Kluyveromyces lactis: one gene and its partners. The protein of the gene in region 1 purifies or fractionates together with the protein of each later gene. This does not show direct contact. Links are inferred from orthologs where the notes say so. Each region holds a gene or a part of one and is shown in the gene's direction. Other genes may lie near its edges.

Region 1 (3,089 bases):
TTCATCTTCATCCTCTCCGTCACTTTCGTTTACATCTCATTCAATCAACAACAGCAGTAGCGGACTATTGTTACCAAGACCAGCTTCACGTGCTAAGCTTTCTGCTTTATCATCATTACAAAGAATGACACCCTTGTCTCAAAATTCAGAGTCATATAATCATTCGCAACAGAATCTAGTACATCTTCACCATCCCGCACCCAACCGACCATTGACCGAGTTTGTTGATAACGAGTATATAAGTAACGGTCTGCCTAGAACCAGATCGTGGACAAATCTGTCGGAACAGCAATCACCATCGGGCTTCAGCTCCTCTGCACTTAACTCCAGATTCTCGTCATCCAATAGTCTCAACCAACTGATAGATCAACATTCAAGAAATTCAAGTACTGTAAGCATATCTACTCTACTGAAGCAAGAAACCGTAATCTCACAAGATGAGGATATGAGTACAGAAGATGCATATGGCCGGCCACTTAAGAAATCAAAAGCCATAATGCCCATCATGAGACCTAGTTCTACAATGCCACCAAGTTCCGGCTCAGCTACAGAAGGAGAATTTTATGATGAACTTCATTCAAGGCTTAGATCGATGGATCAACTGCCGGTAAGGAACAGTAAGGACGAAAAAGATTACTATTTCCAAAGTCATTTTTCAAGTTTACTGTGCACTCCAACGCACAGTCCTCCACCGGAAGGATTGTTACCCAGTTTGAATCAGAATAAGCCAGTGCAGTTGCCATCACTTCGAAGCTTAGACCTTTTACCACCAAAATAATGACTACTAATGAAAATGGACAGAAATGTAAGCGCACCGTCTCTTCATCGATCAATGTATTATATTAACTCAAGATATAAAACTTTCACGCATAATGAATATAGAATTTTACTAGCTCTTGTCCATCAATTATATATCATTTCATCTTAGCATTCTATTGACAATAACCATCCAAAATAGACTTTGTAAAGTTTTCAGAGAACCTGAAGCTTGCGATCACCGAAGATATTCTGTGTTCAGGATACTGGTTGTCATGCTCGTCTGAGGAAAAACATCTTTCCATGAAGATATCACGTGATATGTTTGATATTCAAAGTTTTTAAAGGCTTTAAACTGCAATAGTATCAATCAATTTAAAGGTTGCGTGATAGGAGCTGATGCAACCTTAGTAGCAGGTCGAACCAGTTGATTTTATGAACTGACCTAATCGCACGTGGTACACTTATGAATGCAGAAAACAATAAGAGACGCCCAGAAGACGAAAATGTCTCTGTAGAGGAGGCTGCTACCTTGAAAAAAGTTAAGAATTTACATACGCATAACCGCGAATATACCACTGTTTTAGTTAAGAACTTGCCTCCAAATTATAATCATCATAAGGTTAGAAGATATTTCAAAACTTGTGGTTCGATATTACAAATAGATGTTACAGATTCAACAGATGGGGATTCAAAATTGGCAAGGATTGAATTTAGTTCCTATGATCAAGCCCTAACAGCAGTGAGCAGGACTTTGAAAAAGATTGGCTTCCATCAGATAACTGTCGAACAGCTAACAGATTCTACGATTTGGGTCACCAATTTTCCACCTGGGTATGATGCCAGCAAGCTTCGAAATTTACTATCGCAGTACATTGATTCACCAATTTTGAGTATTAGATTGCCGTCCTTAGCGTTCAATTCAAGAAGAAGATTTGCATATGTTGATTTAGTTTCTCCAGAAGTGGCAAAGAAAGCTACAAATAGGCTCAATGGGATAGAGATCAACAATTATAAATTAGTAGCGAAAATATCGAATGTCAACGAACGAACTGAAAGGACTGACAATGCCATATCGGATGGTAGAGAGATAATAGTTAAGAACCTTCCAGATGATATTACCATCGATGATTTGATAAAGATGTTCAATGAGTTTGGTGATACAGAAAAAGCTAGAATAGTAACTGGTGATGAAACAAACCCTGGACGACATTCCAGATATGCGTTCATAACATTCAAAAACAAAGCGAGTGCAGATAATGCTTTGTCATTAAATGGAGCGGTAATGAACGGTAAGCCATTACACGTTTCAAAAGTTATGAGAAAGGCTTATCTAGAAAGACAAGAGGTGAAGCGTCTGCTTGCTTCCAGAAAAGAAAACCCAAAAGTTGTCGGAATATACCCATTGTCTGATCAGATTACCCCAGATCAAATTCTTGCTTTCATTACGGAGAAAGCTCAAATTAGACCTCCGGATATTACGAAGGTTTTGCTGGTCTCTGATCATGAAGGTGCTTTAATAATAGCGGACAAAGAAGCAATTACCGCAAAAGTTTCACTTGCAATCAATGGATACAAGTTCAAGAACCGAATTTTGAAATGTGTTTCTGCTCATGAACTTTCCCTTCATTATCCCAATGAACACAAAACAACCTTGAATCAACCAAAGCACGCTGTTGTAAAGGAAATTAAATCACAGCAAGCGTCACAAAATGACAAAAAGTTGAGCAATGATGACTTCAGAAAATTATTTCTATCTAAATAATATTAATACTATATAAACCTACCTGTTTATAAATCTGACATCAAGGATGATTGAAGTTCTGAGATTTGCTTGGTGATAGAATGTAGAAGCTGATTTCTATAGACCTCATCTTCCATCATCTTTTGTTTGTCTGGGGTTGTCGCGATGATCCGAGAATTCATATACTTTGGGTGAGTTAACAAATGTTTCAATACATTTGCCAAATCGTTTCTCTCAGAGCTAGTGTCTAAACCAGGGAACAACTCTATTATCTCTTCTTCGTCAATGACCTTCAATTTGGAACCATTAACAGACAAATAACGCTGATATTCAAGTTTATCTAGCATTTTCTGCAAAAGAATTATCTGGGAAGTCTCCTGGATATATGCTTGAGTTATGGACAGTGAGTCAGACGACCAGCCCCCCACAGCAAGATCTATTTGTTTGGAGAAATATGAAACAAATAGACACACTTCCGAAAGTATTCCAGATCCGAATTTACTTAATAGTTGAAGAATAATCGATATGATGCCATTGGACCATATGTTATGCAATCTTGGTGATAATTCTGGGCGAGCCCCAGATTGTT
Region 2 (2,115 bases), on another chromosome or scaffold:
CAAAACACTATGGATGAGGTATACTACAAATTTGGCTTAGGAAATTCAACCAGAGAATTTATTGGACACGCAATGGCCCTTTGGACCAATGACGATTATCTGCAACAACCTGCTAGACCATCAGTGGAAAGAATTATCCTATATGTGCAATCGATTTCCAGGTTTGGTAAATCTCCATATATTTACCCTATGTATGGGTTGGGCGAATTGCCTCAAGGATTTGCTAGATTATCAGCTATTTACGGTGGGACATACATGCTAAATACCCCAATTGAAAAGGTTTTATACTCAGACGATGGTAAATTCGAAGGTATTGTCACCAAAGAAGGTACTGCAAAAGCACCAATAGTCATCGCAGATCCAACATACTTCCCTGAGAAATGTAAAACTACAGGTGAAAAGGTGATCAGAGCAATTTGCATCACTAAACAACCTGTTCCTAACACTAGTAATGCTGATTCTTGCCAAATAATTATACCACAATCACAAGTTGGAAGAAAGAACGACATTTATATTGCTACTGTCTCTGACGCCCATAAAGTTACTTCGAAGGGTCATTACCTCGCCAGTGTATCAACCATCATTGAAACTGATAAACCTCATATCGAATTAGAGCCGGCTTTCAAAATGTTGGGCCCAATTGAGGAGAGGTTCATGGGTATTTCAGAAATCTTTGAACCGATCGAAGATGGCACTAAAGACAACATTTACATCTCTAAATCTTACGATTCCTCATCTCACTTCGAATCCATGACCGACGATGTCAAGGATATCTACTTTAGGATTACTGGTCACCCCCTTGTTTTAAAGAAGAGAGAAGATGTTGCAGAGGAGTAAGTGAGAACTACGAGATAACCGTGATGCTAACTTTTGAAAATATCGTACCTTCACGTACTTCTACGTACTTTTACGTTACTTTCTTGTTTCGTTACAATCTTTATCATTATCATTTTATTTTTGTCTATTTACTATCTAGCCCCACATATTAGCTTGAATGTTTTGGCAATAGTTTTATTTCAGCAATCGACGTAAAAATATCCCAGCTAGTCCTCTTAAGTCCAGCAGCTTCTCTACTTCTACATATGAAGTTGTGTATGTCAATTTTGTACATGTATCTTTTTTTTTTCCTTCAACATGAAATTGTTTAAAACAATTTCATGTTGAAATTTGACAATACAACTACAACACATTCAAAAGTCAAATGCATGGACCTCTGAACCAAGGCCGTACTGTCCAGAACCATGCTATTATTTTCATTTTTCAAGACCCTGGTTGATCATGAAGTCAAAGTCGAACTAAAGAACGGTATTGAACTAACAGGTACTCTAAAATCAGTCGACCAATTTTTGAACTTAAAATTAGACAACATTTCGTCCAACAATAATGAAAAATATCCACATCTATCAAGCGTGAGGAACATGTTCATCAGAGGTTCTACTGTGAGGTATGTACATTTGAAGAAATCTATGGTGGATACCAACCTACTTCAAGATGCAACCAGAAGAGAATTAATGAGTGAAAGAAAGTAAACGAAAGAAGCAGCGAAAAACAGGGTTCCTGCTGCAGAAAGGAATAATTTATAACTGTTAAATATCATTCGAGTCTACCACTCTCACACTATTCACATATGTAATAATAGAACACATTACCTATCATGGTGGAACTCCCAAGAGTTTCTTCTCACATTTTGATCGGAGGTGTCCAGTTTCATTGCAATAAGAACATTTAATGTTGTTAGCTTTAGACTTTCGTTTTCCAAATTTGGCTTGTTTAGGAGTTCTTTGTACTGGAATTAGAGCATATTCTTGACCGTCTTTCTGAATAATCTCAATTTGTTTCGAAATCATTTTTGAGAACTTCTCTTTATCCAGTTCAACGGATGTAATCATCGAGATGAGCTCATCAACGTTCTTCAGTTTGTTCTCGTATTCCTCTTTTAAAGACGGGAGAGTCGACTGCTTTTTTTGGGACTGAGATAACACTAGTTTGGCTAGTTGATCAAGCGCCTCAGACTGTTTAATAATCTTGTCTGCATCCGCCATGATAGAGCTTGTGGTCACTGGGGTTATCCGATACCACACTTCCTACTCTGGTGGTCCTGAATTTGATCCTATC
Region 3 (2,549 bases), about 1.1 Mb from region 1:
AGAACTGGCGACTTGATTTATTATAACAACGACAATAGGGCTCAAGCTGAAGTTCCATTAGAAACAACCTTCTCACGAAGCGAAAATCCCGTTAGGGATTTGCTTGATTATAACTCACCGGGGGTTTGAACCCTCGGCGAGCGGACAGCTGCGTTCCACCGAATTTCCCACCTGGAATGAGGAGAACAACTCCTCTGATCAAGTAGAACATTCAAATCACATGACCTCTTCTCAAAACACTTCAAAGTAACGAGCATCCACCTTATACTTAAGAGTGAATATTCTTTGAAGCGCTTCAAGGGCTTAGTATGAAGTTGAGAACAGGAAATGAATTGCCATATTTGATCTTTTTGTAACCAGGTTCATATGAACAGAGACTTTGTGTTCTGAGGAAGATTCGAACCGAAGTCGCAACGTGGCCTTTTTACCAGCTACGGCACAACACCCGACTCAAACCAATTACGAATTCATTCAGTAGTAGACCCTGTCACGTGTGTGTCAGGTGTCATTTCCGTAGTTCAGAGTATCATCCACGAGGCCAAGGACGAGAATATAATTAAACTTATGTAAATTATCAACTCCCTATAACTCATCATCTGTGAGCATCAATTCATCGTCAGCTAATGGCGTGAATTGAGGACCTACTTCAACAACGGCAGGTCTCACAAACCCGCCGTAATTCTTTTTTACTGGTCCGAAATACTTCGTTCCTTGGAATGTACCATTGTTCTTACCGTCAGGTTCGTCAAATTCAATTCCACACCATACATCTGTATTACTGATCTCTTGAACTTTTCCCACGTATCGTAACCATCCTCTTCTTTCGGGGACCTTGGTGGAATCGGTCGTTGTTTCCTCGTTGGACAGTACTCTGCATCTTTCTCCAACGTGTTTTTGTAATAGTTCTGCCTTATCGATATTCAGTTGTAGTTGTTCTTCCATCTTAGAGCGGTATTCAGGATTAAATTTCCCTAACTTGTTATCTTTTTTCCATTGTAATACAGAATCCCTTCTGTTCTCATAATCGTCCATGGTGTATCGGAACGAAACGTCATCGCTATTAGCATGTAGCAAATCATTTTTCAATTGGCTTGCTAAACTGTTTTCGTTGGTGTCTATCACTTTTATGGACTGGATTTTCTCTACTTTCTGGTCTTTGAGATCTTTCAAATACTTGCTGTTCTGTGCATTGCCATTTATCACCAATTTCATGTCTTGAACATCAACACCGGTCAATTCGTTCAATCTTTGGCCCAGATGGTCCCATGATGTACCAGGTTTCACAAAGATCTGAGTGTTAACCAAATCGGATATAATTTCCACGTCAGATGACATTATCGGTGCTGATATATCCTCTGTTTTATTTTGTCTTCGATGCTGTAAGTTCAATGTTTGTCGTTTTGTCCAGGCATGTTTGAACATCGAATTTTTCAATGTTCCGTAAACTTAAATGAAAAGTTAATTTGAAACCAGTAACACACTTTGACAATAACCCATTGAGCAAACAGCGCTACCCCACCCAACCAACTACTAATAATGAGCGAAGCAGTATGTTAACTACTATAATTAGGACGGCTTTCTAAAACTTCTTCAACTTTCTCAAAACAATGATCCATTCTACATTTTAAGTTCAAATTTACTAACAGTTAGAGAGTTTATACATTCCCCTTCTCTGCAGAGGCAATCACAACAACCGAGACAAGAGCAGAAGAAGAAGTTCGAAGGCCCAAAGCGTGAGTCTATCATAAATCTTGCACAATATAAGGACACAGAAGTACGTGTCAAGTTCATAGGGGGAAGACTGGTCACTGGAATCCTAAAGGGTTATGACGAGCTAATGAACTTGGTTCTTGACGAAACCGTCGAATATGCAAGAGACCCAGAAGATGAAACCATCATCCACAAGGACCAAGCCAAAAAAATTGGTTTGGTCGTCATAAGAGGAACAGCTCTACTTTCGCTATGTTCCCTCGAAGGTGCTGAGATCATCAATACCTAGTTAAGACCCAAAAAAAAAAAATTTCAAGCAACAGTGTACCATATATGTTCATTAATAGTGCTATATAACGTTCAGTGCTATATCAAACTCACACTATGAGCCCATATCCACATTTCTACCTGTATCTAATGAAATAAGTATCTCCAACGGAGATACTTTCCTAACCGGCTACATCTCACTTATCAAGACCTAATCTGCACAAATGTGCGTTCACGTGACTTATTGAATCTTTTTTCTAACATCAGCAAAGCTTTTTGGTTAAATTTCGACCAAAAAACCGTATCTCATCGCATCGACTGATTAGAGAGATATCTTGAATTCTTTAAACCGACTGCGTCCAGGTGTTCATTTATATATATGTGAGTATATATCTCTTGTGAGAGTTGTTCTTTTAACGTTTCAAATTCTCTTTTCGCTTGTTGCTGCAAATCTGTTTGAATAATATTTTCTGTAGTATTCTTACTCTTTACTGAAGACCAATCAATTAGCGCATCAAAGCGAACTTCACTTAGGTTTATCTGCTGCTAAAAGAAAATAATATGAGTTCTAC
Region 4 (1,962 bases), about 730 kb from region 1:
ACAACGAACACATACTGACGTCTCAGCAGCCCCCTTCGGAGAGGCAGACATACGGTAATTAGTTTTGCAGATGTAGCACGCTGTGGAGGTGATGGTCTTGTAGTGTGTTCGTTTGTCCCTGGATCAATAACTTTTTGATCTAATGGATCAAAAGCTGAAAAGAAATCTAAGATTAATCTTCGAATCGAAAGTATAATAATAACAGAACACGCACAAAGAGCACGACACACCAAAAAAAAAAAAAAGTTAATAGAGAGATGTATTAGCAGCGGCTTTATACTATGATATTTTCTTGCCACGCACCGTTAGAGAGTACTATATAAGGGAAAAGAATTCCAAGCTGTTCCTCGTGGACGGAGTAAATTCCCTCAATATGAATGTTGAGATCGAAATATAGATACGAGGGTTCAATTAACTCAAGGAATGTTTTGATCGAGAGTGAATGCAGCCCTATCTTGTTAAAATCCGAAACGTTTGAAGCGAGTTGATATAAATAAATCGTGTCTCAATCTTGATTATATATATGTACAATCGGTCCTAACCAGTGCTAAATATGGAAGTCAATTAGATAGGGAAACGTAAACAGCACACCACGTCAATTATATTCTAGCTGAATTGATATAGCATATCTATCAGCTGCAGAGAGCCACTAAGGTAAATTAGTGCTGTCTCTCAACGGTTTCGAAATGTATATATGCATTGAAACAAAATCAGGAACCAGGTTTGAGAATGTTTGAACTATGTGGTGTGCAGGCGTGATTTGGAGTTCAGTTTCTTTGTTTCAAGGTCTTAGAGTTCGAAGATTTTGGCTAAAATTGGAGTCAAAGAATGCTGGTTGTTGTCGGAATGTATCCAGGAAGAACCTTTGACATTTGTTTCCAAGCTAGAGCAATATATTACTATAATCTGCGCTGTTCCCTTCCATTCATTTAATTAATTAATTTATTACTTACTGCATATCACTTAATTCACTTTACCACAGATCACGTGACTAGAACATTCTTTCCCTTTTACTTCAACGTGAACAATGAAAAGTGAACTTTGTTAATATAACGTTGAACTGATGGAGAATGATGAGAGTAGGTTCAGATGCAAGAACTACAGGCTTCTTCATATCTTTATTTCGACGCTACCAAATTTCAAAGGCATAGATTGTTAACACATCATGGAATCTAAGGCAACGGCTTCTGGCTCCTTTTTGGAGAACATCATTGGAAAACCAGTATACGTCAAGCTATTCTCAGGAATATTGTATCAAGGTAAGCTAGAATCAATTGATGGGTTTATGAACGTCACAATGTCACAAGTGTCGGAACATTATGAGGCAGAAGAGAACGGAACTTTGCATAAATATCCTTCTGAAGTATTTCTAAGGGGATCGCAGGTGTTATACATTAGCGAAAAATAGGCTTCGATTGGGCAATAAGATTGACTTCGACCAATGACTTTTGTAAGTCGATATTATAAAGTGTCCTATTTGCTCAGAAGCTCAATAACTACAATAATATGATAATACTAATAATAATTTATATACAAAAGTATATAATTGTATACTATAAAGATGGAACGTTATCAAAGCGGAAAGTGTTAAAAAATACTACGATGCACATATATAAAGCACCAAAGCATACATAAATTTAAATTCTGATTTTATTTTAAAATAATAAGAATATGTAGATATCTAATACAATAATAATATATATTAACCTTGTACCAGTGAGTTATACATTACTCTTTTCAAATTTTTATATCATGATTCTTAAAAGAGAAAATTTATTGTCATATCGTTAGAGAAAAGGAGATCAAAGAGGTTCCTTTCGTAGTTTCTTATTTATTCTGTGATAAAGAAAGCTTTCAGATCAAACAAACCGCGAACCTCATATCATGTTGTAGTTTTTTTTTGAGAATATATTAAAGAGAATAGAAGGTGGAACAAGTGAGGGCTGTACCATTCTTGTGGAA

Evidence for each region.
Region 2: the proteins of PRP24 (region 1) and LSM2 purify together in Saccharomyces cerevisiae (affinity purification with mass spectrometry; 4 studies listed by BioGRID, with this or other methods). This does not show direct contact. The link is inferred for Kluyveromyces lactis from reciprocal best matches to the Saccharomyces cerevisiae genes PRP24 and LSM2.
Region 3: the proteins of PRP24 (region 1) and LSM7 purify together in Saccharomyces cerevisiae (affinity purification with mass spectrometry; 4 studies listed by BioGRID, with this or other methods). This does not show direct contact. The link is inferred for Kluyveromyces lactis from reciprocal best matches to the Saccharomyces cerevisiae genes PRP24 and LSM7.
Region 4: the proteins of PRP24 (region 1) and LSM6 purify together in Saccharomyces cerevisiae (affinity purification with mass spectrometry; 3 studies listed by BioGRID, with this or other methods). This does not show direct contact. The link is inferred for Kluyveromyces lactis from reciprocal best matches to the Saccharomyces cerevisiae genes PRP24 and LSM6.

Annotation. Positions count from the first base shown.
Region 1 is NC_006041.1:967,452-970,540, forward strand, and holds PRP24 (U6 snRNP complex subunit PRP24), read left to right. Parts: upstream 1-1,222; coding exon 1,223-2,521; downstream 2,522-3,089. Other genes in the region: transcription factor MIG1, read left to right, coding at 1-778; NUP188 (Nup188p), read right to left, coding at 2,548-3,089. UniProt on the Saccharomyces cerevisiae protein: Functions as a recycling factor of the spliceosome, a machinery that forms on each precursor-messenger RNA (pre-mRNA) and catalyzes the removal of introns.
Region 2 is NC_006042.1:854,815-856,929, forward strand, and holds LSM2 (Sm-like protein LSM2), read left to right. Parts: upstream 1-1,241; coding exon 1,242-1,529; downstream 1,530-2,115. Other genes in the region: GDI1 (Gdi1p), read left to right, coding at 1-837; KLLA0_F09229g (uncharacterized protein), read right to left, coding at 1,653-2,042. UniProt on the Saccharomyces cerevisiae protein: Component of LSm protein complexes, which are involved in RNA processing and may function in a chaperone-like manner. Component of the cytoplasmic LSM1-LSM7 complex which is involved in mRNA degradation by activating the decapping step.
Region 3 is NC_006041.1:2,036,745-2,039,293, forward strand, and holds LSM7 (Sm-like protein LSM7), read left to right. Parts: upstream 1-1,536; coding exon 1,537-1,548; intron 1,549-1,678; coding exon 1,679-1,999; downstream 2,000-2,549. Other genes in the region: ALF1 (Alf1p), read right to left, coding at 583-1,335; FUR1 (uracil phosphoribosyltransferase), read left to right, coding at 2,539-2,549. UniProt on the Saccharomyces cerevisiae protein: Component of LSm protein complexes, which are involved in RNA processing and may function in a chaperone-like manner. Component of the cytoplasmic LSM1-LSM7 complex which is involved in mRNA degradation by activating the decapping step.
Region 4 is NC_006041.1:232,606-234,567, reverse strand, and holds LSM6 (U4/U6-U5 snRNP complex subunit LSM6), read left to right. Parts: upstream 1-1,165; coding exon 1,166-1,408; downstream 1,409-1,962. Other genes in the region: GTPase-activating protein RGA2, read right to left, coding at 1-51. UniProt on the Saccharomyces cerevisiae protein: Component of LSm protein complexes, which are involved in RNA processing and may function in a chaperone-like manner. Component of the cytoplasmic LSM1-LSM7 complex which is involved in mRNA degradation by activating the decapping step.